3 linked regions of the Drosophila melanogaster genome follow. The gene in region 2 interacts genetically with the main gene of each other region. Each region holds a gene or a part of one and is shown on either strand. Other genes may lie near its edges.

Region 1 (9,173 bases), on a different chromosome or scaffold from region 2:
TCCCAGCTCATTTGCATGACTAATGACCACTGGGTGCGCAAATGGGAGGGGTATATACGAGTGTAGTGGAAAGACAGGAACAAGAACACAAAGATAAAGACAAGAACATAAACAGGAACAAAGTCAATGCCTGCCAAACCCTTTGCATATTTTTCTTATGAGACTTTGCCATGGCAATCCAATATGGATTTCTCGCGTGAATTGGAAAATTTTTCTTTTATCATGTTATACAATACAATTGGCTTGTGCAACTTAAAACTTAAGTGGTTTTTGGGTTATGAGCCAATATAATAGCTGTTTTTTACCATCAAAACTGTGTGTGTTTGCCATATATTTCAGTTGAGATATCTGATGTTAGAGTTAAGGATTAAGGCCTTTTCTTCTAGATGGATATAGATGTAGAACCTGAAAAAGAAGACCAGTTCGAATGGCCTTATCGCTGGTGTCTGTCACAAAACATGAAAATGGTCAGGACGAGGCTGAGGACAAAAAAAAAAACAATTAAACAAAAGGCGAATGTCACAGGGTCAGTGGAGCAGGCTTGTTTATTTTGGCCAAAACCACCTTATTAGCGATCTCATCATCAATACGCACTTGTTGTCACCCCTCTCTTTCCACGCCACACGCTTCGCATATATCGCGCTCTGTCTGCCGCGTTGTCGTGTTGCGTGTGTTGAATGTCAACGATCAGCGATCATTGTCAGTCGCATAAAATCGCATAAAGATTGCATGAAATGCTGTAAATTCTAGGAAAACATTTGCTTATGCAACTGGCACAAGGAAAACAGCCGCATCAGCAGGAGAGGCATCTATTTTTAGGATACCTGACCAGAGTGCTCAAGCTGAAAAGAGTTGTATCTATATCCCAATATCTAATGATCACTTGATGATCCATAGATATGAAGCAGGCCCAAAGCCAGAGAAATCTACAACTTTCAGTTGCTCCTCGATCCTTTCACATCGTAGACTTGGCCAAGTGCTGCTAATGCCAAACTAACGACTTGCAACAAGAACAGCTGCGGCCGAATGATTGGCCGCCCTTGGAGGAGGAGCAGTGAAAGCCGCTCTGGGCCACGCTATATATATATTGTCCACTTTTGGACACTGTCCTTGCGCCTGCCTGACGTCAGCACGTAGGCAGTTGAAGAGGCGACATGGCGACAACGACAACACGTCTTCAACTTGTTGCCGCTGCGCCTTAAATGGCCCGGAGCAACTTCACCAGAGCATCGCCAACATCACCAGCATATCCAACATCACCAACACATCACGCACTCGCTGCACTGCACAATGACAAAAAAAAAAAAATGCATCGGATTTTTTGTCTTTTATTAATTTATTTTAAGTGATTCACGGCGGCGTAGACTGAAAACGAAAACCGAAAACTGAAAACAGCTAAACCTTGGAAGTTCCAAAAATGTCAACTGATTGATTTGAATTGCACCGCATTGGTAAGAAACTGGCAACAATGCAACAATGCCATAGAGCCACCTAATTGGAATTTAAGCTTGTGCTGGTAATTAGTTTACAAGCAGCATGGCACAATTGAGTGAATAATATAACATAAGAGGCATAAAGAAAAAAGTCCCAAAAGAAAGAACTCATTCGAACATACATACATAAGTGAAAAAGTCCAAAAAGAAAGATTTCCTTTTAGACATGAGTGAATAAATATCCCAAAAGAAAGACTTAATTTGAACATGAATGAAAGTTACTTTATTTGAACTATATATAAATGTACTGTATTATATATGCGTAATATGCATACATAAATGGTGTGGAATTTGTTGTGGAATATTCGCAATGAACTTTAATAACTAATCAGTGCTAAATACAACTTAGTAAAATCATATCATATCATATATCAAATATGGTGGCGCGGTCAGTAGCCGCTAGCTGTCCGTACGATCTCTACATACTATATGCTATATATGCTATATATTGGCGATGTATACGATAGTTCGTTCGATGCTCGATGATATCAATATGAAAGCAACAATTCATCAAATGTATGCAAGGGATTCGATAAAAAAAATTATTGTTATGTCGTATGGCTATGGGGCTATGTTAAAATATGTTTATGTATGTATGTATATGTATATGTATATGTATATGCGTAATGGAATATCTGGCTGCGTTACAACTATGCTTCCTAAATGCTCCGTTTAATAATGAATAATTCAAATTAAAATCACATCAAATTCGCTGAATGAAAGAGATTAAATGGCCAAGACAAGTGAGACAAGTCTATCGAATTTACCCATCTCCATTTCCTCTCTCAAAATACTATTTTAATCCTATATAAATCCGATATAAAGAAAATTCACATGGATCTGATGAAAGAGACAAATTCGAAACCGAGAGAGATGGAGAGATGGGCAATGGTTATAGCTAGCTATATCAACAATATACATATCCTATAAACGGGAGCGCTACGATTTTGGCACAGCTTGCACTCGAATGGCGTGGCTTGGCTTGGCTTGAATCGAATCAGGAATCAAGAATCAGGATAATGCCTAATACTAGTAGGTGTCTTGGGTCAAGATTCTCTTGGGAACTACAGCTACAACTAACTAACTAACTAACTAGCTAATACATATGATGTACGCCAACTTATTGCGTATGTGCGTACAAATACGAATTGGAAGAGCGGAAAGGAAGCTACAATTGCAATTGTGGTTTGCTGTTGTTTTAGGGTTCGAGCAGCTCGAACGCTATTACAATATATCTATAAAAAAAATATATCATAGTAAACGAGGATTGCACACACACTGAGATTATGTAGAAAGTAACTTAACGACGAATGGAAGAGAATGATCGAGGGGACTTCGGTGGGTGGGTGGTTGGTTGATTGGTTGGTTGGTAGTTCTACTCGGGGACAGGGAACTAATCCTTAATCCGTCACGCCCAGGTGCACCAGCTGTTGCATGGTTCGTTGCAAATAGGTGGGATCCGGAAACATATTGAACTGCGTCTTGTGATCCACACTGTTCCAGATCACCACATCCTCGCGTCCGGTGGTCACCGATCGTCCGATCGAGAAAAGCAGCCGACGATCGAATGCAATCTTGAGGAAGCGCAGCACTTTTCGCCCCAGCGGGCAGTCCGGCAAGTAGCAGATCCGCGGAAATCCCACGGCGAAGAAGGCACGACCCGGATGCGGATGCTCCTCCGTCTGCAGTCCCGATGCAATGCTGCCATGCAAATGAAAAAGAGTGATTATAGTTGATTGCTCAGTGGCCACAGGCACATTCACACTTACTCGTAAACAATCTGTATGGTGTTCTGACCCTCGTGTCCTGGCAGATTCTTGCTGATTATGCTCCACGACATGCTGCCAATGGGCTGATTGCCAACCTTCTCGCCGTAAACGATGCCGCATACAGGGCACTCGATGAAAAGGTTCTAGGGGAATGAAATTTAAATAAACTTTCTCTTTCTAATTGGCATCGCTTTCGCGTGCTCACCTTGTTCATTTCGTTTTGCTGGGCAATTATCATCCCATTGAGGCACTGCAAATGCATGAGATGCTGGCAGCGACTCAGCGAAATGGCCGGATTCTGGGCGGAGTGCACCAGCTCCTCCATGCACATGGGACAGGGCTGGGCATTGGGCCACAGCGGTGGCTCCACCACCTTGACAAAACGCGATATCATATCGCTGGCCGGGTCCACGCCCACAATCGAACCGGCGATTGATTGCTGCTGCTGCTGCTGCGCCTGTTGCTGCTGTTGCATCTGCAGCTGCTGTTGCTGTTGTTGCTGCTGCTGTTGCTGTCGCGGATGCAGTGGTAATGGCGGCGGCACCGGCGCCCTTTCGCCCAGCGACGATGGCGGCAGCGAGGGCACAAAAACTTCATCGCTGCCAAGCGAGCAGTCCAGCAGATCATTGACCGAAATGGCAAAGTTCCTGCTGCGCAGGCTCTCCTTGCTCTCGTGGCTGAGGTAAGTGGACACAGTGTCCACACTGGGTCTCCGCCGATGCGATTTCACACTGTTCGTGTCCGTGTCCGAGGTCCGCGTACGCGATCTCGAGCGATGCGAGCCCATCCGGCTGCTCCTTTGCGACTGCAGCGATCCCTCCGAGCAGCGACTATGATGACTGTTCATCGAGGCAGTCAGCATGTTCTTGGCGTGCGAAAAGTGCGCATGCGACAGATGGTTGGCATGGTGCAGCGAGGCCGATGAGGAGGATGAACTGGCACTGGCCGCCGTCGACATGTTCGATTGGTGCTTAGTGCTGCTGCTGAAGATGTTTAGGTTGTTGAGTATCTGGCGTAGATTGGTGGTGGAGATCTCGCTGTGCTTCTTGGGCGGCTTCCTGGGCGCCGTCTGATGATGGATTTGATGGTGCTGCATCTGATGTTGCTGCTGTTGCTGATGCTGTTGTTGCTGATGCTGGTGATGATGTTGCTGCTGCTGCTGCTGTTGATGCTGGTGCTGATGCTGCTGCTGCTGCACTTGATGGCTGGTGGGCAATGGGTGCTGTTGCCTGGTCATGGGCACTCTGTGCAGGCTCTTGGTGTCTCCCAGTTTGGGTAGAGTGTTGTACTGGCTGCTCACGCTGGCGGAATTCGACTTGAGTTGGTTGGCCTGTTGTGGCGTTAGTTTCACCAAGGGATACGGCGCCTGTTGGGTACGCCGAATGCTGCGCATGGGTCCGCTGGGTTGGCGCAGCTGGGTGAGATTGCAAAAGTTAATGGTGTACGGCAGGCCGATGTGGGTGTTGCACAGGTCCAAGGTTTGTTCGCCCTGCAAGGGAGTAGGAATAAGTTATGTTACAATCTATAATTGATGATATTGATTGATTGATATGCGGTTGCAGTTGGACTTTGTGCAAGAAGAAGAATAAATTTATATAGCCCCTAAAATTTGATCATAATACCATAACTCAGCCAAAACTCCAGCGATTTAAGTGCGAATGATTTTAATAGTCATTATTTTTAAAGCAGAAAGTTTCTGTATTCAAACTTTTACAAAAGTGAAAATTAAATTTTTTTTCAATTTTTTTGTCCCATTTTGAGGTTGCAAAAATGGAAATTTTTGAAAAAAAAATTAATTTGATTTTAGCTAAAAAATTTAAATGCAGATTTATTTGTCTAAGCATCAGAAATTCAAAAAGGTACACTTCTTCGATCTACTACGTTTTTTGGCTGAGATGTGAACTGTGGAATTTGGCTTATATGTACTATTTAAACACCTATGGACACATCACAGACTGGTGCATCCTTAGCCAATTCTTCAGGATCAGTGGTAAACCCACACTCTTTTAAGATTCCCCATATATTCTCCCGATAAAAAAATTCCTGAGCAACTCAAAATTCCAACTAGACTGCCAATGGGAAAACATTCGATTCTGCACGGCACTCACCCTCGCCCAGGCGTCCTCGATGATGCACTGGACGTGCATGTTGTAGGGCCGCCAGTCGTTGTTGCTATCGGCACTGCCGCCCGACCACTCCCACTTGGTGCCCTTGCCCGCCGGCGAGCTGGGTGCGTAGAACATGCGCCGAACACCGATGGTCAGCAGGCCGGAGCCGGCCGTTTCCGCCTCCGATTCCTGGGTCATTGTGCGCACGTTGACGTAGTACTGCTCCAGGCTGGGATCCGCATCGCTCAGCATGACGCGCGTCAGTTTCTTGGCGTGGGCGCGTTCCAAGTGCTGCGACACCGCCGGCGAATAGGGCAGCCACTTGCCGCGCGACTCGAACTCCCACACGCAGACGGCGTGGGCGTGGTTCACGGGCGGCCCACCGGATCCGGCGGTGGACAGGGCCATGGTGGCACAACTGGAGGCGGCGCTACCTCCGCCACCGGGAACAACGGATCCGGATGCCGCACTTCCGGCGCTGCTGGCCATTGCTTGCAGTTGATCCGTTATCCGTGGAGTGAGCCCATTGCCATATCCATGCCCATTTCCATATCCAACTCCTCCTGCGCTCTCTTCACTAGCTCTCACTCACTCACTCTCTCTCTCTCGCTCTCTCTTGCTGTTGCTGTCGCGCTATCTCGCTCGCTCGCGAAGATGGGCACAAAATAAACAAAGAAATTAAAAATGGTGGACCCGCTGCCAGCGTTAGTTATCCCTGATTTTCCCTGGCTTCCATTTTCCCGAAGTTTTCGTTCTGGTTCTTTAGTCACTCGGTTTCGTTTAGGCGCAGCTTAAGAATTCACGTTTGATGGTAAAAACAGTTTTTCTAGCATTTAGCGCAAGCGCAGGCGAGAAATTTTTATTGTTGGACAGCGATTTAATGAGAGACAACAGCGGAAAATGGCTAAATAAGGCCGGATGAAAATACCGCACTGCATCTGCAGCCACCAGTTGGATTCGGTAGTTTCAGGGTTGGCATAACTGGTTGCTAGCTAGATCTAGCTAAATGTTTAATATTTTTTATTTTCTTTTCTTGCACTTGAATATAAACAGATACTATTTTTAGCTTGTTAATTAATCAATTAATATATGTGTAATTGAATTCTATATTGAAATGAAAAAAATAAGAACTTGCAATGATTTTACTTGATATTAATTTCAATATTTTTTATTTACTTTGGCAAGTTTAAGCTACTTTTCTTAAGCAACGCGACCTCCAACACTGGCTGCTTCCAAAGTTTCTTTCTATTTAGTATTTCTTTTCAAGATTTTCGGTAATACAAATCGGTCACTTTTAAGAAATTCATAATTTGAGCATGTCTTTGCTGTAACGATCACATTTGTGGTGTATGTCCTAGATAGGATGGAATGTTAGATATATTATTTTTATTTAAACGAAAGGTATTCTGACCACGATTTGATTCGTTTTCAAGCGCTGGCCTATTAAAAAAGAAGTTACGCTTAAATAACATTGTTTTTTAACTTATCTGATGTACCTTAAAATTTTTAAAACATAAATGGAGCGAGTCTCTGCTAAGAATAAGCATAGCCTCTCACCTCGGTATATCGCTTCTTTTGGCGTTTCGGTGCAAATGTGGCACGGTCAGATCGAATCTACTCGATTTCCAACATTGGAACTGCCACTTCCTTTCTTTTTCGTTCCACGTTTCCGGTGAGTGCATGTGCCTAGCGAGCAGTCCTGAATTTTGTGCTAAAAACCAATATTTTATTTACTTTCAGCGAGTATTTCGATACGTTCGTGGTCGTGCTTATCACAGGTAAAGCTCACAATTCCAGAAATTCACCCAAAAACTACGCGGCCGGCGAAAATGTGTGCAAAACCAAATTTTTTGTATAATTTTTTTTCTGTGGGCTTCCAAAGCCGGATTTAAATGTGCCACTTAAAAGAACAAAGTGTAAACAACACGTGAAGTACGCAGTATACTCCGAAAACCTTTTTTTTTTTTGTAGTGAAATTGCCAAATTCCAACCCATTTGAACAAAAATGTGCGTTGCGGCATGTTTTTGTGCATGTGTTGGTGCAGGTGTATGGAGTGTGTGTGTAGAAGTGTTGTTAAAGAAACCTTAAAACTTCAAAGTTATCAAAATGAAAGTAATATTTCTTCAATTTAATGAAAACGGAGTAGATTTCTTCGGAAAATCTGCGAAAAAACGTGTGTTGTTTATACCCAATTATCACACACACACACACACACACACGCAAGCAACATGGTTTTTTTTTTCTTTCCGTACTTACATTTTTCATGCACGTGTTTTGCTGGTCGCCGAAGTTTTGCGTGTTTTCCCATTAACTTTACCAAGTTTAAAACGTATTAATGTGCTAATTCTTTTTTAGCAACTGCTTATTTCGGTAGCAAACTTTAAAACCGCTTGAAAATGGTTGTCAAGAAGGTGAGTTATCGGCGTAAATTTGCTGTTAACTCGAATTAACCTAATGCGTGTTTTCATTGCGTTTACAGCCCAGGCCAAAGAAGAAGCCAGTGACCAAGAAGGTGGCTCCCGCTCCTCTGGCTGTCAAGAAGCCCGTGGTCAAGAAGGTTGTTAACCAGCTGTTCGAGAAGCGTCCCAAGAACTTCGGAATCGGTAAGTGCACAAAACATATTCTATATATATGAATATTGCAGCGGAATTTCTTACATATTAGCTAAATGTATACATATTCTCTCACTTTGCAGGCCAGAATGTGCAGCCCAAGCGCGATCTGTCCCGTTTCGTTCGCTGGCCCAAATACATCCGGGTGCAGCGTCAAAAGGCTGTGCTCCAGAAGCGCCTGAAGGTCCCACCACCAATCCACCAGTTCAGCCAGACTCTGGACAAGACCACCGCCGTGAAGCTGTTCAAGCTGCTGGAGAAGTACCGCCCCGAGTCGCCGCTGGCCAAGAAGCTGCGCCTGAAGAAGATCGCCGAGGCTAAGGCCAAGGGCAAGGATGTGGAGCCCAAGAAGAAGCCCAGCTATGTGTCCGCCGGTACCAACACGGTGACCAAGCTGATCGAGCAGAAGAAGGCCCAACTGGTGGTCATTGCCCACGATGTTGATCCTCTGGAGGTTAGTTTGACTCAATTGTCGCAGCTCAAAGCTTGCACATCATCCAAATATTTGCAAATTTGCAAATATACATGGTTCTCAATCACGTTGCGATGATGAAAAAATTTCTTCAACTCAAGGCTTCTCGCTTCCGGCGGCTAGCAGGTTATCCTGCTCCGGCGGAGTGGGTTGCTGCCATGTAGAAATTTGACTCCTGACGCCTTAATTCTTTGTTAAGGATTGCTAAATCCTTGGTTTATCTTTGAATTAGTTGAAGAGCTAACAACTAGATCTAATAACTAAGCCAAAGATAAAGTTAACATTTGAAGAATTGAGGGCAACTTGATTGCATACAATGCGCAAGCCCACGAACCACGTGGTTTTCCAAGACGACAATTGATTAACGCGTTAATTTCCATTCCAGCTGGTGCTCTTCCTGCCCGCCCTGTGCCGCAAGATGGGCGTGCCCTACTGCATTGTGAAGGGTAAGGCTCGTCTGGGTCGCCTGGTGCGTCGCAAGACCTGCACCACCCTCGCCCTGACCACCGTCGATAACAACGACAAGGCCAACTTCGGCAAGGTCCTGGAGGCTGTGAAGACCAACTTCAACGAGCGCCACGAGGAGATCCGTCGCCACTGGGGCGGTGGTATCCTTGGCTCCAAGAGTCTGGCCCGCATCTCTAAGCTGGAGCGCGCCAAGGCACGCGAGCTTGCCCAGAAGCAGGGTTGATTCAATCTGAAGCCGGTCCGGTCCGAT
Region 2 (6,961 bases):
TTTAATGGCCAACTGACACTTGATATGCGGCAAGAGATTTGTCATTCATGTGAACCATGCGTAGGACCCATCAGTCCTAATAAACTAGACCCATAATACATTTCATTCCACTAATTTCAACTGACTTCTCGCACTTTCAGTAGGGATTTGAAGATGGGTCTTTACCTGGTATTGCTGTGAATTAAATTCTGGACGTACCCTTTGTTATTGCTCGTTTTTTAGGGTGTGTTTGTGTGTATCTACCTGCCGATACATTGGCATCAGCTGCCAATTATCAAACTTCGAGAAAAGGTCGAAGAATCTAATGCTGAACTCGTCATAGCCCAAATAATAGATGACTTTGTGGCGTTTCTTTCGGGGATTGTTTCCTGCGAAATGGTGGATTAGATCATACAAGTGAAACCGAAACCTTTGTTAGGTAAAAAATTAATTTGAATTAAATTTTCACGAGCAAGACTTTAAAAAAATCGGAGTCACAAAATAACTTTCCAACTCCATTCACGATTTTGTAGCAAAAGTTTTCCAGCGAAGCCCACACAAATCAAAAGACTTAGGCAACAAACTTGCATTCACTTCTCTTGCTTGCAATCCCTATTAAACTCTTAACACACATTTTAGCCACAACTTCCGCTTGTATGCTGTGAGCCAAATACCAATATACAAATTATGACTAAGCCATAGCGACTAAGGCATAAAGCACGCGCTAAAACAAGTTTTACTTGTTCCGATACCTTTTGCCAAGTTATGAAAATGACTTAAGTAGAACTCATCTCCGGAGAGAATCCCTAATCATGGCATGGCAATTTCCATAAAGCAACCAGTTTATTTATATTTGCCAAATAGCTTTGCCAAAAAAAATGAGCTACGATATAAAAAGCAAACACCGAATTTTTGTGGCTTGTTTACAAGTGTGATGAGGGCTTTTTGCATTTGTTCTGCTTTTCACTTTGGTCTGAGTGAAATTTTCTACTACTTCTATGGTTTGTTTCGGTTTCTGTTATTAAGCAACAACAACAACAGCGCGCCGAGTGCGTCTTGAAATTGAGGTTAACTGTTTGGGTAGCTCTCGCTTTTCGACTTTTCGATGGAGTTTTGGGGGTACGGGTATGGGTATGGGTATGGGTACGGGTATAGGGAAGCCGACTTGGCCTTTATTGAATGAATGTGACAACAAAGGCGAGTCAGACACGGCCGGCAGACAATCGAAGCATTTTTTAGGTTTTGTTTAATAGAAAGTAACAGAAATTGTTCTTATTGTTGTTCGGGTGTGCTACTTTTTGTGGATAAGTGGGAATCCATATGGGAGGCTTTATATGGAATACAGCATAACCACTCTCGATACGCCAATTGTTTGCTCAATCAATGGGAATCAATCAATTATTTAAACACAATTAAAACGAAGTTTCATTGCAAATCGTTGGATAAAACGAAAGCATGGCATTGTTTATGGCTTAATTTGTATGTAGACATATGCATAATTAATCGGATTTTTGCGCAATGACTGAAGCCAAAATAAGGCGTGTCTTGAGATTGGCTTTTAATTCATTTGGCTTACTGATTGATAGTTATGAGGTATTATAGAGTGATGGTATGCAATGATGTCAGCTTAAAAGCAGAAGAATATAACGTCATTGGTAGACTAATACTTATACTTAGTATTCAATCCAACCCGCATTTCCACTCTACACTTTTTACTTTGCCACTCTTTTCCGACTCATTCGCTGCCATTTCAATATGCAACTCACCTCTTATAAATGCAGCTTTAGCTGTATATAACCACTATATATGTTCGATACGTATCGTTCGCGACTGCTAGTATTCCAATTTATGTGGCATGTCAGCTGGTTATCCTTGAGGTCAACAAAAGCGACAATAACGACGGTTTCTTTCCCTTTCGCGACGACGGCGGTGTCAGTGTTTTTTATGGCAACTTATTGGTGCGGTTTTCTTTTTATTTATTTAAACTTTTAAATGTACAAGGCCAGTGTTGCACTGCTGGTAGATATTTAAGTTGATTAAAAGTTTTAAAATAAAAGCTGAGCTAAACGAAAACGCGTCACATAAATGTAATTTATGATCGGATAGCCTGACTATCTATAGTTTGTCTAATGGGGATGGGTCTGTTTAATTATGCATGCCGTGGCAGAGATCCGAAACAAGTAAGTCCAAGAATTCTCGTCTGAAGTCGCAGCACGTCTTCGAAATGTGTTGGGAACATTTTGGGATTGAGTTCACAAAAATGTTCGAAGAAATATTTATGTTAATTAGGTGAAAATCTGGTGAGGATAGTCCAAGAAGTATTCCTATTGAGATTTTGGGTCTCTACGATTGGACAACCAAACAAATGACTTAAGACACGAACTTTTTGTAAGTCAAAAATGTTGTTGGTTTCACTTTAACCCCAAAACTGCATTCTATATATTTTTTTCTGTTTAGTTTTTGTGGTTGTTTCTTTTGGCCATTGTGCAAAACACTTGTTGGCCAGTTTCTGGTAGCAGTTGTGGCTTCTTTTTCCGTAAGTTTGTTATTTCTACCCGGTTAATGGGAGCGTAAATGCGCAGCTGGCATGTGAAGTGAGTACCCGAGTGTGTTACTCCCGATGGATGGACTACTTACTCACACAAGTAGTCTAATGTCAGTTGGCAAAGTAAAGTGCAAAAGGCACAGACAAGTTAATGGACTGGTAAAAACCGAACGGCTGGCAAAGAAAACAGGGAGAACAAATTATACTAGAAGTTCAACAACTCGGCTAAAAACAACATAAAATTATTATAGCGGACTACTGCTGACTTCCTATCCTTCATTTGATAAAATAGCTAAAGAAATTCTCGCATTAATTTGTCGTATCTCTACCACTCTTGCATTTAATGTTAGTTATATATTCACTGATTTCGTAGTATTGTCCTCTGTGTTGCAGTTAATCTATTACACTTTTTTTTTTTTCAATTTAAAATTCCTCTTGTTTTTTGCTGCTTCGCATTTAATGGTCAGTTTCCTCATAGAGCACACACGATCCAAGCACGCGCCTCCATTAAAATGCACAGAAATCCTTTTTCGCTAGCCAGCGTACAACGAACACAGGCACAAAATCAAACACTTTGCTGGGCAAAACAATCGAATAAAATCCAGTTTCGAGGCAAATACATTCACAAAATGCACAAGCACTTATTGTTATAGGACACAAAGAGATCTGCAGATCCGGGGAGCGCTTACTGTACCATGTACTGTACCACACGAAGGCCAAACTCAGACTGAAACTTGTTCAGCAAATCAACGCGGTCTGCACCTGAAGTTTCAGTCCACGCACACACACATACACACACTCGTCTACACTCGCCCAAAGACCACAAGACACGACAGCAAAAATGGTAAGAAACTGGCGAAGAGCGGGCCAGAAAGCAGAAAAAAAGGTAGAGAAGAGAGGTAGAGGCGATCGGCAATAGGTAGAAACGTAAGACTGCGAGGCGAGGAAAATAAAACAGCTTAACGTGCCCGTTTTACAGATTTTCCTATGGCTCACTGTATATGTATATCTAGCCTCATCTCGCCAGACTTCTTAACGGCTTTCGTTCGCTCACACTTACTCACTCACTCACTCACTGCCGTACTGAAGAAAACCCAGTCGAATCGATACATACACTTGTCTAGAGTTCGGGTTCGCCGCAGCCTCTTAACGTCCACAACGCGCCACAGTCGAAGGCATACTGAAGCCCCGAAAAGCTTCGTATTTCTTAGGTTTTTTTCACATTTCTATGGTTATCGGTCGGCGAAAAAACAACCGGCATACCGATCGTTATTCGCCGCCGTCGAATTCGGCCGAAATGATGGCTCGGTAATCTCAGCCGGCACTGCGAATTCGCCGCACAAACGCTACCTAACCGATGTTGGCCAAATGCGTGGGCTACACCGCCTAGACGGGATTAGCTGCGGCGTCCTTGTTTCTTGGGAAATTTCGTTTAATTGCCGAGGACATGTGAAGTCGGAGGTGGGTTTTTACCCTCCCTTGATTTTGGGTTGCTTGCTGTTTTCAAACATTCGCACGCAACGGAAGCGGTGGCCGAACGAAAGACTCAAGCAACGAACTTGCTAAAAGGGTTGGCTAACAAAGTAGAGAGCACCATAAAAGTGGGATTGTTACACTTGGCCCTTGGAATCCTTTGGCACTTCTTGCTGCCTCTGTTTGGTTACACACTGCTCTCTCTTGTCCCATTATTTTTTTTATGAAGTCATAAACTGTGCAAAACGTGCGAAATGCTAAACGGAAATGGAATCTACAAATGATCAACAAAAACTACTCATTTAATAGTTAGGGTTATTGCAGGTACTTTTTCAAATCAAGATTATCTTCTCTTTTAAATAACTTCTAAAATTTCTCCCGCAAGTTATCCTTTTTTGTGTGTATAGTTTTCAAAGTGCTTCAAGGATATTCATTGTTTTTAGTATCGATGGCCATTAGAAGATCTTATGCCTTTTTATATTTTGTTCGTATATGTAACCTTACGTCACATCCGTCGCTAAAAGGAATTTCGCACTCGTTTCTTAGGAATTCTATAGAATTGCGCACAACAATTACTATTTATGGTGGGATTTCCCAACCCGAAGGATTTCTATTAAGGAACACTTTATCTCTGTGTGGATGAAGAGTCCAAAAAGGCAAATTGAAGGGGCTTAAGAAAAATTTTGATAACAGTGAGAAACCATCAATGAAAAGTCAGCTGGGATTCTTAGACAAAAAATCAATTCTATATTTGTGGTATGTAAATGATTATTCAATGTTAACTCAATCTTAACTAAATACCATTGTTTGCACTTGGACCTGGTTAAAACCAATTAACTTAGCCGATGAGAATAGCCGAATTTAGAGTTAATTAATTTTAGTTTATCATTCCTTTAACAAGAATGATTTATTAAGCTTTTCACTTCCTTTCTTTTCAAATTAAAAATAAATGCTTGTAAACAGATAAAACGAAAATGATGATAAATAATGCACTGCTTCCAGTAGAAATATAAAGCAGATAAATCGATCCAATTTACACATCCACTGGAATAAAACAATTTAATTATAGGGTACACGCGATCATTAGACTCCCATCTATCCATTTTCGAATAAGTTTTTACTTCCTTCTCAAAAACAGGTCATGATTATTATTTCGGTGCAATTAAAATGTGTCTTGACTTCTTAGGAAGTAGAAAAGGAAATTTAGTTTTCCTAATGCTAAAGCATTAGTTAAGGGAATATGAATAAAGGGAACTATCTAATTACATTTAAAACTTGTTTAGTTTTACAATTCCTTTTGAAAACACAAATTCTTTCCAAATGACACCTTTTATTCTACGCTCCGTTAATCAACAAACAAACACAACACTGCTGCAGGTCGAATATTAAAATAAAAGGCAATACCCTTCCTTAGACGGAAATGTAGACAATTGCAAGCCAATTGAAGAGGGACGATCAGACGGTTGACAAAATCAGTCGTTTGAGCCAGCAGAACGGAAGTTCCATATAGGGCGCACACTCAAATATTCCGATGAGGGTTTTGGATCCGCGTTTAGGTTCTGGGGCGTGCCTGTCCCAATTTGGCCGGAGAAAGTCTTGAAATTTCTATCAGAATAATGTCGTATTCCATTTCCGAACACACACTAAAATCAGTTACCGAAATAAAAACACAAAAATGCCATTTCGTGGAGACAACTTCAAGGACTTTAAAGAAATAAATAAAATTCGAAAGGAGAACAATAAATACAAGTACATCGCTGTTTTCATCACAGTTATACCCGGCATTATATTGGGCGGATTTATGGGCAAGAAATTGGCCCAATTCCTCGAAGTATTTGATCTTTATGCGCCCGATGTCTCGGAAGATGATTAATATAACAACCATGGCGCATATGGAACTTCTACATGGTGAACCAAATGAATTTGGAGCAAACTTGTGCATATCCTGTTTGGATATATGCTAATGTGCCAATCCAAACAGGCCAAACGGGATGCTAGGAAAGAAAACTCAACGCAAACAACTGCCCAGACCGGTAACCAAATTCAAAGCAGGGTAATAAGTGCACAGATCAATTGAATCATAATTAGTGCAAAGAGCTCAAAATCAAACAAGTTTTTAACAATAAATGTGCCTTTTCATTCATGTATTTAGAATGGTTTCTTTCTAGGGAAGGTGTCCATTTCATATTAAGCATCTTACCCAACGTCAGCTTTATATTTTATAATTCAAGATTTTTTAGTGTAGGTCGCGCAATTAAATAATTTTTAATTATGACACAATTACCTAGAACAAACGCGAGTTTCCAGTCTATGTAGAGCATGAATTGTAGTTTGAATTGCAGATGAGCGTTGCTCGCCCGCAGATTTGGTCATCGCCAGGCTTTAATTGCAACTAGTAAGTGTGGAAATTTGCTTCTTTAGATTTGGGTTAGACTTTCATTTAGAACAAGCACGCATACATTTAACAAATTTCGTATACTAACATGCTAAATATGTGCACACATTTATCAGTACTCGTACACCTAGCTTATATTTTTATTTTGCCATTCTTACTTTTAAATATTTCTTGGTTCTCAAATATTATGATCTCAAAAAACATAACGTTTGGCATAATTCAAATAATTAAATTTGATGCATCCCTGGAGTGACTATAACGGCTAAAATACTAAAAATGTCTTGCAGTATTTTTATACTACACCTACACCTACAAAACAAAACAACTATTATCAACAGCTGATCGCACGAAAAACATAAACAAATGGTTTAGGTTGTAGAATTTCCTTTAATGTCAGACAGCGTAGCTCGAAAATTGTTTAGAAAATAACTCCATAAAGTGTAGTAAAAATGTGGTTGGCTGGGAATCTGTTCAAAGGATCCGTAGCAATCAGATTCGGTCGCTTGCTGCATCTCAAGCGCAAGGAGGTTTATATGGTGAGTACAAGTTGTCTCAAGATTTCTAGCATT
Region 3 (6,919 bases), 6.5 Mb from region 2:
AAACGGATTTTAACGTCCATATATTTTATGCCATTTTAAATATACTAAAATCATATATCAGATAAAGATTTGGCGGATTATGTTTATAATTGGCATATTAAAATGCGCACGCAAAAACCTTTAAGTCGGTTACGGAAATTGCCAACACGAATTTCACCTGCCAGGATAACGACATTTGTGTCGATTCAACCAATGCTTTCACCCTCGGAAAAGCCATTTACATTTCCCTGCATGTGCAGCGCCCTAGAAGAGGGCAATTTACATCGAGTCACGCCCTTTCATTAAAGCTACTCATCAATTTGAAGTGCCAGGCGCTTCAGTCATTCAACAAGCTTAAGGGATTTATTCACCGCATGTATACATTCGCATATAAATGCTACATGTATGCATTTCATTTTTTTATTACATTTTATTTCATTTATTTGGCAGAGGCACTCGGCAAACAATAAATGTCAGCCGCCTGGTGATAGTAACACACTTTGCAATGACAGATACATTTGTATCTGGCAGATACGACGGCAAATACAGAACAAACGCGTCTATCATCTGGGTCGGATTCACCAAATAAACCCACGAGTTTTGTGGGTCATTTTCTTTGTACGAGTATATTATGAAACAGCACGAAGTTCTTCATCCACGGTCACGTTGTCATCTCTAGATTTCGATGGTGGCTTCATTATTTGTTTGTTTACTATGTTGCACTCGGCACGTACGGGAAATAAAGCAAAGGAAAATTGCATAAATGCCCGGGCAAAGTGTCCATTGTTCTCTGGGCCCTATCATCCTAAACTCTCCTCCCATCCTAAACTCTCCCACATCTCCTATATGTGATTTATGAAAGCTTTTTGCCCGACTGAAATTATATTTGAAACAACTTTTAGTCAACAGCTTATCAATAACAATAATAAAATCCGGAAAAACCCAGATGTGACTCTAGAAACTCATTTCACTCGTCAGCGAATCTTCAAGTTTTTTTTGTCTCTTTCAAGATCAAAAAAAAAAAAAAAACGAAACCAAAAAACTGCAGATAAGTTACGTAAAAAGTAGCCGCAATCTCAAGCTGAAACTAAGATACGGATACAGTATCTTTATCTTAATTCCCAGCTGTATCTTGTTACTGTATCTCAGAACTGTTGCTTTTCACAGCATTTTTGGTTTATATATTTCTTTCGCTTCCGCTGCTTATTTGTGGGAGAAAAACTCTTCTCCGATAGCTGTTGCATATATATATATATATATTTTTTTATAATTTTTTCATTTTTAATCATTATAATATGGTTTGTGCAGCCCAGACAGATAATGCCGAGACATTGACCTTTTTCGCAGATTTTTTGTTTGTCTCTGGCCTTTTCTATTCGCCTCGCTTCTGGGTTCTCGGTTCTTATGTCTGCTCTCTTTCTTTGTTGTCAGATTAGCCGGCCAAGTGGATAAACCAGTTTTTGCCTCCGCCACTCTTCTTGGCTTGATTCTTGGCCCTCAATCCTCACTCTTTTACCCATGTTCATGTTGCTTGACTTTGGCTAATTAGCCAAGAGTGGAAGTTGTTGTCATGATCCCTCGCCCCGCCTCGAATTTCGTAACGTTGAACTTAGGAAAATCTTGCCATGCAAACAAATTAGTTGAAGTGGCGAAAAAACGGTCTTCAATGCAGTAACGACATTTTTTTTATCACAAAACACAATATATTCATAAATTAAGTAGCACAACTCTGATATATATATTTATATATGTAGATGTATAAGCTAAATGTTTCATTCCTACTGTGTGTTTCATACCGAAGTATATAGTTTTAAAATTTTGTAAGTCCCCTTTTGTTAAACCCAAGCTAACGATTTCACAATAAAAATGGATGAGTCCCCTGAGCTTTACTCAGGTTTTCATGACTCACGTTATACCTTATGCTTTTCGCCTTCTTCGCTCTTTTTGCCCCAACAATGGACTTGCTTTGTGGAAATAAATAGGTAGAATCTGAATTTGTATATTTACATGAACATACATACATATATGAGTAGCTAACTTAAGTGTAAAAAAAGTACATTCACGGCTATATAGATTGTTATTAGAGTCGGTTGAGTTTGAAACCTTGGCACCTGCAAGTGAGAATATTGCTGAAAGCAAACACTCTGGGTCACAAGAAAATCATTCTGTCAATTCGCTTGGAGTGACAATAGCGAAATTAAATTAATTATGCAAAGCAACCCCATTTGTTTAATAACAAAATACACCCACAGCATAGTTAGGGAGGCGAGAAAACCCAAAGACAATTACCCAAAGTGTCTACTAAAATTATAAGAAACCCTCTGTGTTCCACCCTCAAAACGATACCCTTCCCCTTCCCCCTAATATCCTTCACTCGTCAATTATCCTGGCAAAGTACGTAATTATTTTTGTTGCTCGAAGGGTTCTGGGTGAAAATGTTAACTTTGTTTCCGCCTGATTGAGCACTTATTCCAATGTTATTGTCTATGCGTCATTTGCAGCACCCTCGGCTGTATTTCATTTTAAGCCCCGATTGTTGTGGTTTCTTCGGTTGCCAGTGAGTCAAGTGCAGAAAAAAAACACCAATGCTTTATGTATTTTTAAATTAAAATATTTAAAAAATTATATGAAATAGGAACGGAAACCATTTAGATTACATTGTTAATCAATGTTAGTTTTTCGAACTTACCATTTACGATGATGATGAAAATGATCGATACGAATACAATGTTGAAAGCACATTTTGATGACATTATTTGCGATGGGGATCCAACGTGGATGGCTGTCGACTAAACAGAACTAGCACCAAATTTCTGCTTGCTTTTGTTTTATTTTTTATTTTTTTTATTTCCGCGAAGGTCGTTGATTGGTCTTAATAATTTCCTTGTGGCAGTAGTTGGTTGCGTTATTGGGCGGCACCTCGCACTCCAATCTTCGCGGGTTTTTTAATCAGAGCTTTGCACTTTCCATGCCATTTACAAATTTAGCACTTTTTGCATGGGCCATAAAACTTCGCAGCACTTTTTCGCACGCACGAATTATTTTTGCTATTTGTTGCAACTTCTTTTCGAGCTCTTGTCACGTACACTTTTCTTATATTTTTATTTTTGTTTTATTCCAATATTTTCTCGTTAATAAATTAAAAGCGAAAATAAAAAAGAAAAATCTTCTTTTTTGATTGATTTTGTGTGTTTATTCACTGGATTGTTTATTTCTGAAGGCAGAAGAGCGAGACATTTTGATTGATTTAATATTATTAAAAATATACTATTTAAATATAAAAATAGGCAATTTTATTTGTTTTATTGTTTTTTTTATAATTATGTTTTTTACTATTTACGCTATATTCATAAGTTCGGTATGCGTTTTTTCTTGTTTAATAAGTTTATGAATAGTTGGAAAACCAAAACATTAGCAATACAAACAAACATAAAATCACAACAAAAACAGCTATTGGCCTTTGCACTCACACAGAGGCAATGAGCAAGCGCGGAGAGGAGAGCAAGAGAGGGAGATGCAACAGAGACGACAAAGAGCGACGGAAGACGGAAAAGGAGAGAGCGACAGCTGCGGCGCAAACGCAACAAAATGCATTAAATTAATTATTGTTGCTTTTAAAACGCTTGTTGTTGCTGGCACAAAAGAACAACAAATCGATTTGTTTACAATGCTGTTTCAAAATAATTAAACAGAAAAATGTTTTCGTGAATAGTATTATGTGTAGTTTAACTTCGCAATAGGGCTAATTTAACAATGTTTTTGCATGTTTACTTATTTTCGTGTGCCTCGTCTTGTACTTCTTTCATGCTCTCTCTTTTATGTTGCTTCTCGGATTGCCTCTCTACATTTCTCTCTCTCACTCTCGTTTGCTATGTGTTGCCAGTAAATTAAATGCGTTGAAATGCAGCCATTTTGTCTCCGCAATTGGCACTCACTTGAACTCCGGTCGAATTTTTTGTTTAGCCACAATTCTCAATTGGCCAGAATTGGGGGCATTTTCTTTGATTAGCGCACATTTCTTAAGCCTGACTTGACGATATATATTTATTTTTATTCGCTCACCCGCTCGCACATTAGCACACACACACACACGAACGCACGCACACATGCAAACGCACGAACACGCGTCCAGCGATTTTCCGACTCCCACGGCGTTCCGAGATCCGTTACAAAGAGTTACGCGTCCAACTCGCTTGGTGGTTTTTTTTAAACTACCCGATTTCTCACCACATATACAAATGTACTTCAGTCTTAGAGTGACCAGTATCATAAAAAGAGATAATCTTTCTAATGCGTTAGTTTTCGTGTGCGTTAATACTGATATTGACGAGAGATGATACAATGACTCATCGTATTCACTATAGTATATTAATAATAGTTAGATTCATTAAATAAAACTTATTTAGGCAACAGCACTTACTTTTCAGCTAATTAAACATATTTAAACATTATTGATACTTACGCATAAGGTATACAGCAAATACAAATGTTATTTATGTTATTTAAATTAAGCTATTGCAAAATAATATTTTAAACTCTAAAGAGAATTTGTTTAATTGAATTAAAATTAAAATCATTTTGTTTTGTGAGCTTGTGTACTTCTTCGTTCATTTACATAAATTTTTTTTTGAACACTTAAATTCAAAAAAGGCGCCAAAATTACTTTATTTTGCAGCCCTCGTCCACTTCAACGAAAATATTTTTACGCCTGGTGGCAACCTTTATCATATGGAACCAGTGTTGCCACATTTGATATTTTAGATTTATAATGAAAACTATTAGAAATTTGATATATTTAACAAATAAGCTGTTTACATCAGAAGCTTGTTTTGTTGCTATGCTAATAAGCTGGATAGGGCCATTTGCTATGGTTATCTACTGATTTAAATTTGCCTATCGCTTACTGTGATAATTTGAGTATACGTTAAAATACAACCATTTTGAATCGCGCGCTCATTATTAACATGCTCGGATTTTTTAGTGATAAACTCGTTAAGACGCTCTGAGTTGTGTCACCTGGCAACACTTCGTCAGATGCTCATCGAGTGTTGCTGCGGGTGGACGTGCTCGCTTTCTCTGTCCGTTACCGTTACCTCGTGTCTGCGTTCACGTATCCGTGTGTCTGTCCGCGTTCCCCGTCCGTGTGTGGGTGTAGGTGCGAATGTGTGTGTGCCTTTGGTCGCGTGTCGTCGCCGCTTTCATGTAAACGAAGATTGTGCAAAAGGTAAACGCCAAACGGTGGCAACAACAGTAAATGATAAACAGAAGCGAAACAACTAGCAAGCGCAGCAACAACCACAACAACACAAACAGCAAAGAAGCAAGCAAACAAAACTTGTGAAATACTTTTTGTTTATTTTTTTTTTATTTTGGCCTGGTCTGGTGGCAAGTGGCAAAAGCTATAAAAAACGATTCTCGAAAACAGGTTTCCTGCGTGAGCGAGAGAGAGAGAGAGAGAGACCGAAGCGTTTACTGCAAACTAGAAGCTCAACTGCTGCCGCACAGTGGTCACTACAGTTCTAAGCTTGCCCCACTGTGCGCCCAGAACTTGTTTTCTTCTTCTTTTCATTCGATTCCCCTCCCCACTCCTTCGTTCCAACTGCAGCTAACTACTCCTTTCATCGGGCGTTTTAGAATGCATATTTGGTTTATGGGAAGCTCACATGCAGCGCCCCCCGAAATCAATACGGAAAACGGTTTTTCCCGAAAGAGCCGTTACTTTTCGGGAAAATCCCCATTCCACGGCACCTCGGCTCTGCCACAAAAATCAGCTGGCTCGGCAGTCGGCGCAGCTCTGCCGGCGTCGGCAGTGGAGGGACTGCGTCGGGCGCCTAGCAACAGAGGTTAAACCTCTGACTACAGGGACGGTTCACGCTTGGGCGGTCAAAATCTCGGGGAGCAACACGTTACATAAGGTGGCTGAAAGTTTGTCAACCTCAAGTTTGGTTACTTGTGTGTCTAGGCATTATGTGATTGTTAAAATCACGTGGCTTATACAATTGTGGTTGAATATCTTATAGTTTGCATTGTTTTTAAATTTTTTGAAAGTTCTTATAGCAGAATATTCTCTTAACCAGAAGATGAATAAAACAAAATAGTAAAAGTCCAAAAACGCTAAAGAGCTTGATTTTTTATGATACCTTACTTGAAACTTCCGAGATTAGCTTTTTGCCCCTCCCCGATGTTGAAGGACTTCGGTCCTGGTCCCTACCGCCGTCAGCTGTGCGCTCAGTGCGCAGGCGCCACACACACACACACACAGATGTGCCAGCCACAGGCAGCAGGAAGCAGGCAGAAGAAGAAGAAGAAACAGCAGGAGCAGCAGAGGAGGAAAAAGCGGACCAGCCTGCTGGTTAACTGCCTGACTTTGGCCCGCAAAATTGCATTGCTGGCGTCTCGCTCGCACGCACTTACTTCGGCAGTAATGCCGGAAAATGGGAAAATGTGAATGTGAATCGATGGTGGAGGAGGGCGGGCGGTGAACAGCGCGATGTGGGCCGAAGTTCGCAGTCGGCAGTCGGCAGTCGGCTTTACATAAGTTGACGTCCGTGGCAGGCGGTCTGCTCCTGGAATTTCAGTGCCCGGCTGCAGGTCCTTTGCTCAGGTTGTGTAGACGCGCTTTTCAGTTTTTCCGGTGGATCAGCTGCTGGCGCTTTGCAACTGGTTCGGATTTTCCTTAATTTTCTCTGCGCTACCCCTACTTACTTTTGATTTGTAAAGTTTTCTTTACTATTTTTGTATTATTTTTGGTTTTATTTTTTAATTGGTTCTGCCCCTGCAAACCGGCTGCAAATGGCCAAAAGGTTCGTCGACAGTTTTGTGTTTTTTCAGCTGTTCGGCTGGTGGAAGGCAAAAAAAAAAAAATAAAAAGTGGTTAGACCTCTTTTTTTTATTACACTTTAATTTGGATTTTTTGCCATTATTTATCTCATTTCTCAAC

The links.
Region 1: of uif (region 2) and dx, changing one enhances a phenotype caused by changing the other (phenotypic enhancement), as found in Drosophila melanogaster (one study listed by BioGRID).
Region 3: of uif (region 2) and kuz, changing one enhances a phenotype caused by changing the other (phenotypic enhancement), as found in Drosophila melanogaster (one study listed by BioGRID).

What each region holds. Positions count from the first base shown.
Region 1 is NC_004354.4:6,531,099-6,540,271, reverse strand, and holds dx (deltex), read right to left. Parts: upstream 6,274-9,173; 5' UTR 5,860-6,273; coding exon 5,371-5,859; intron 4,752-5,370; coding exon 3,468-4,751; intron 3,406-3,467; coding exon 3,263-3,405; intron 3,195-3,262; coding exon 2,894-3,194; 3' UTR 1,697-2,893; downstream 1-1,696. Other genes in the region: RpL7A (ribosomal protein L7A), read left to right, coding at 7,768-7,782, 7,851-7,974, 8,067-8,437, 8,841-9,146.
Region 2 is NT_033779.5:7,006,655-7,013,615, forward strand, and holds the start of uif (uninflatable), read right to left. Parts: upstream 3,706-6,961; 5' UTR 3,639-3,705; intron 3,256-3,638; exon of another isoform or gene 3,219-3,255; intron 1,996-3,218; exon of another isoform or gene 1,993-1,995; 5' UTR 1,746-1,992; intron 1-1,745. Other genes in the region: CG43321 (uncharacterized protein), read left to right, coding at 5,673-5,870; CG43322 (uncharacterized protein), read left to right, coding at 6,842-6,928.
Region 3 is NT_033779.5:13,547,416-13,554,334, reverse strand, and holds the start of kuz (kuzbanian), read right to left. Parts: upstream 4,197-6,919; 5' UTR 4,042-4,196; exon of another isoform or gene 3,915-4,041; intron 3,194-3,914; 5' UTR 2,733-3,193; coding exon 2,669-2,732; intron 1-2,668.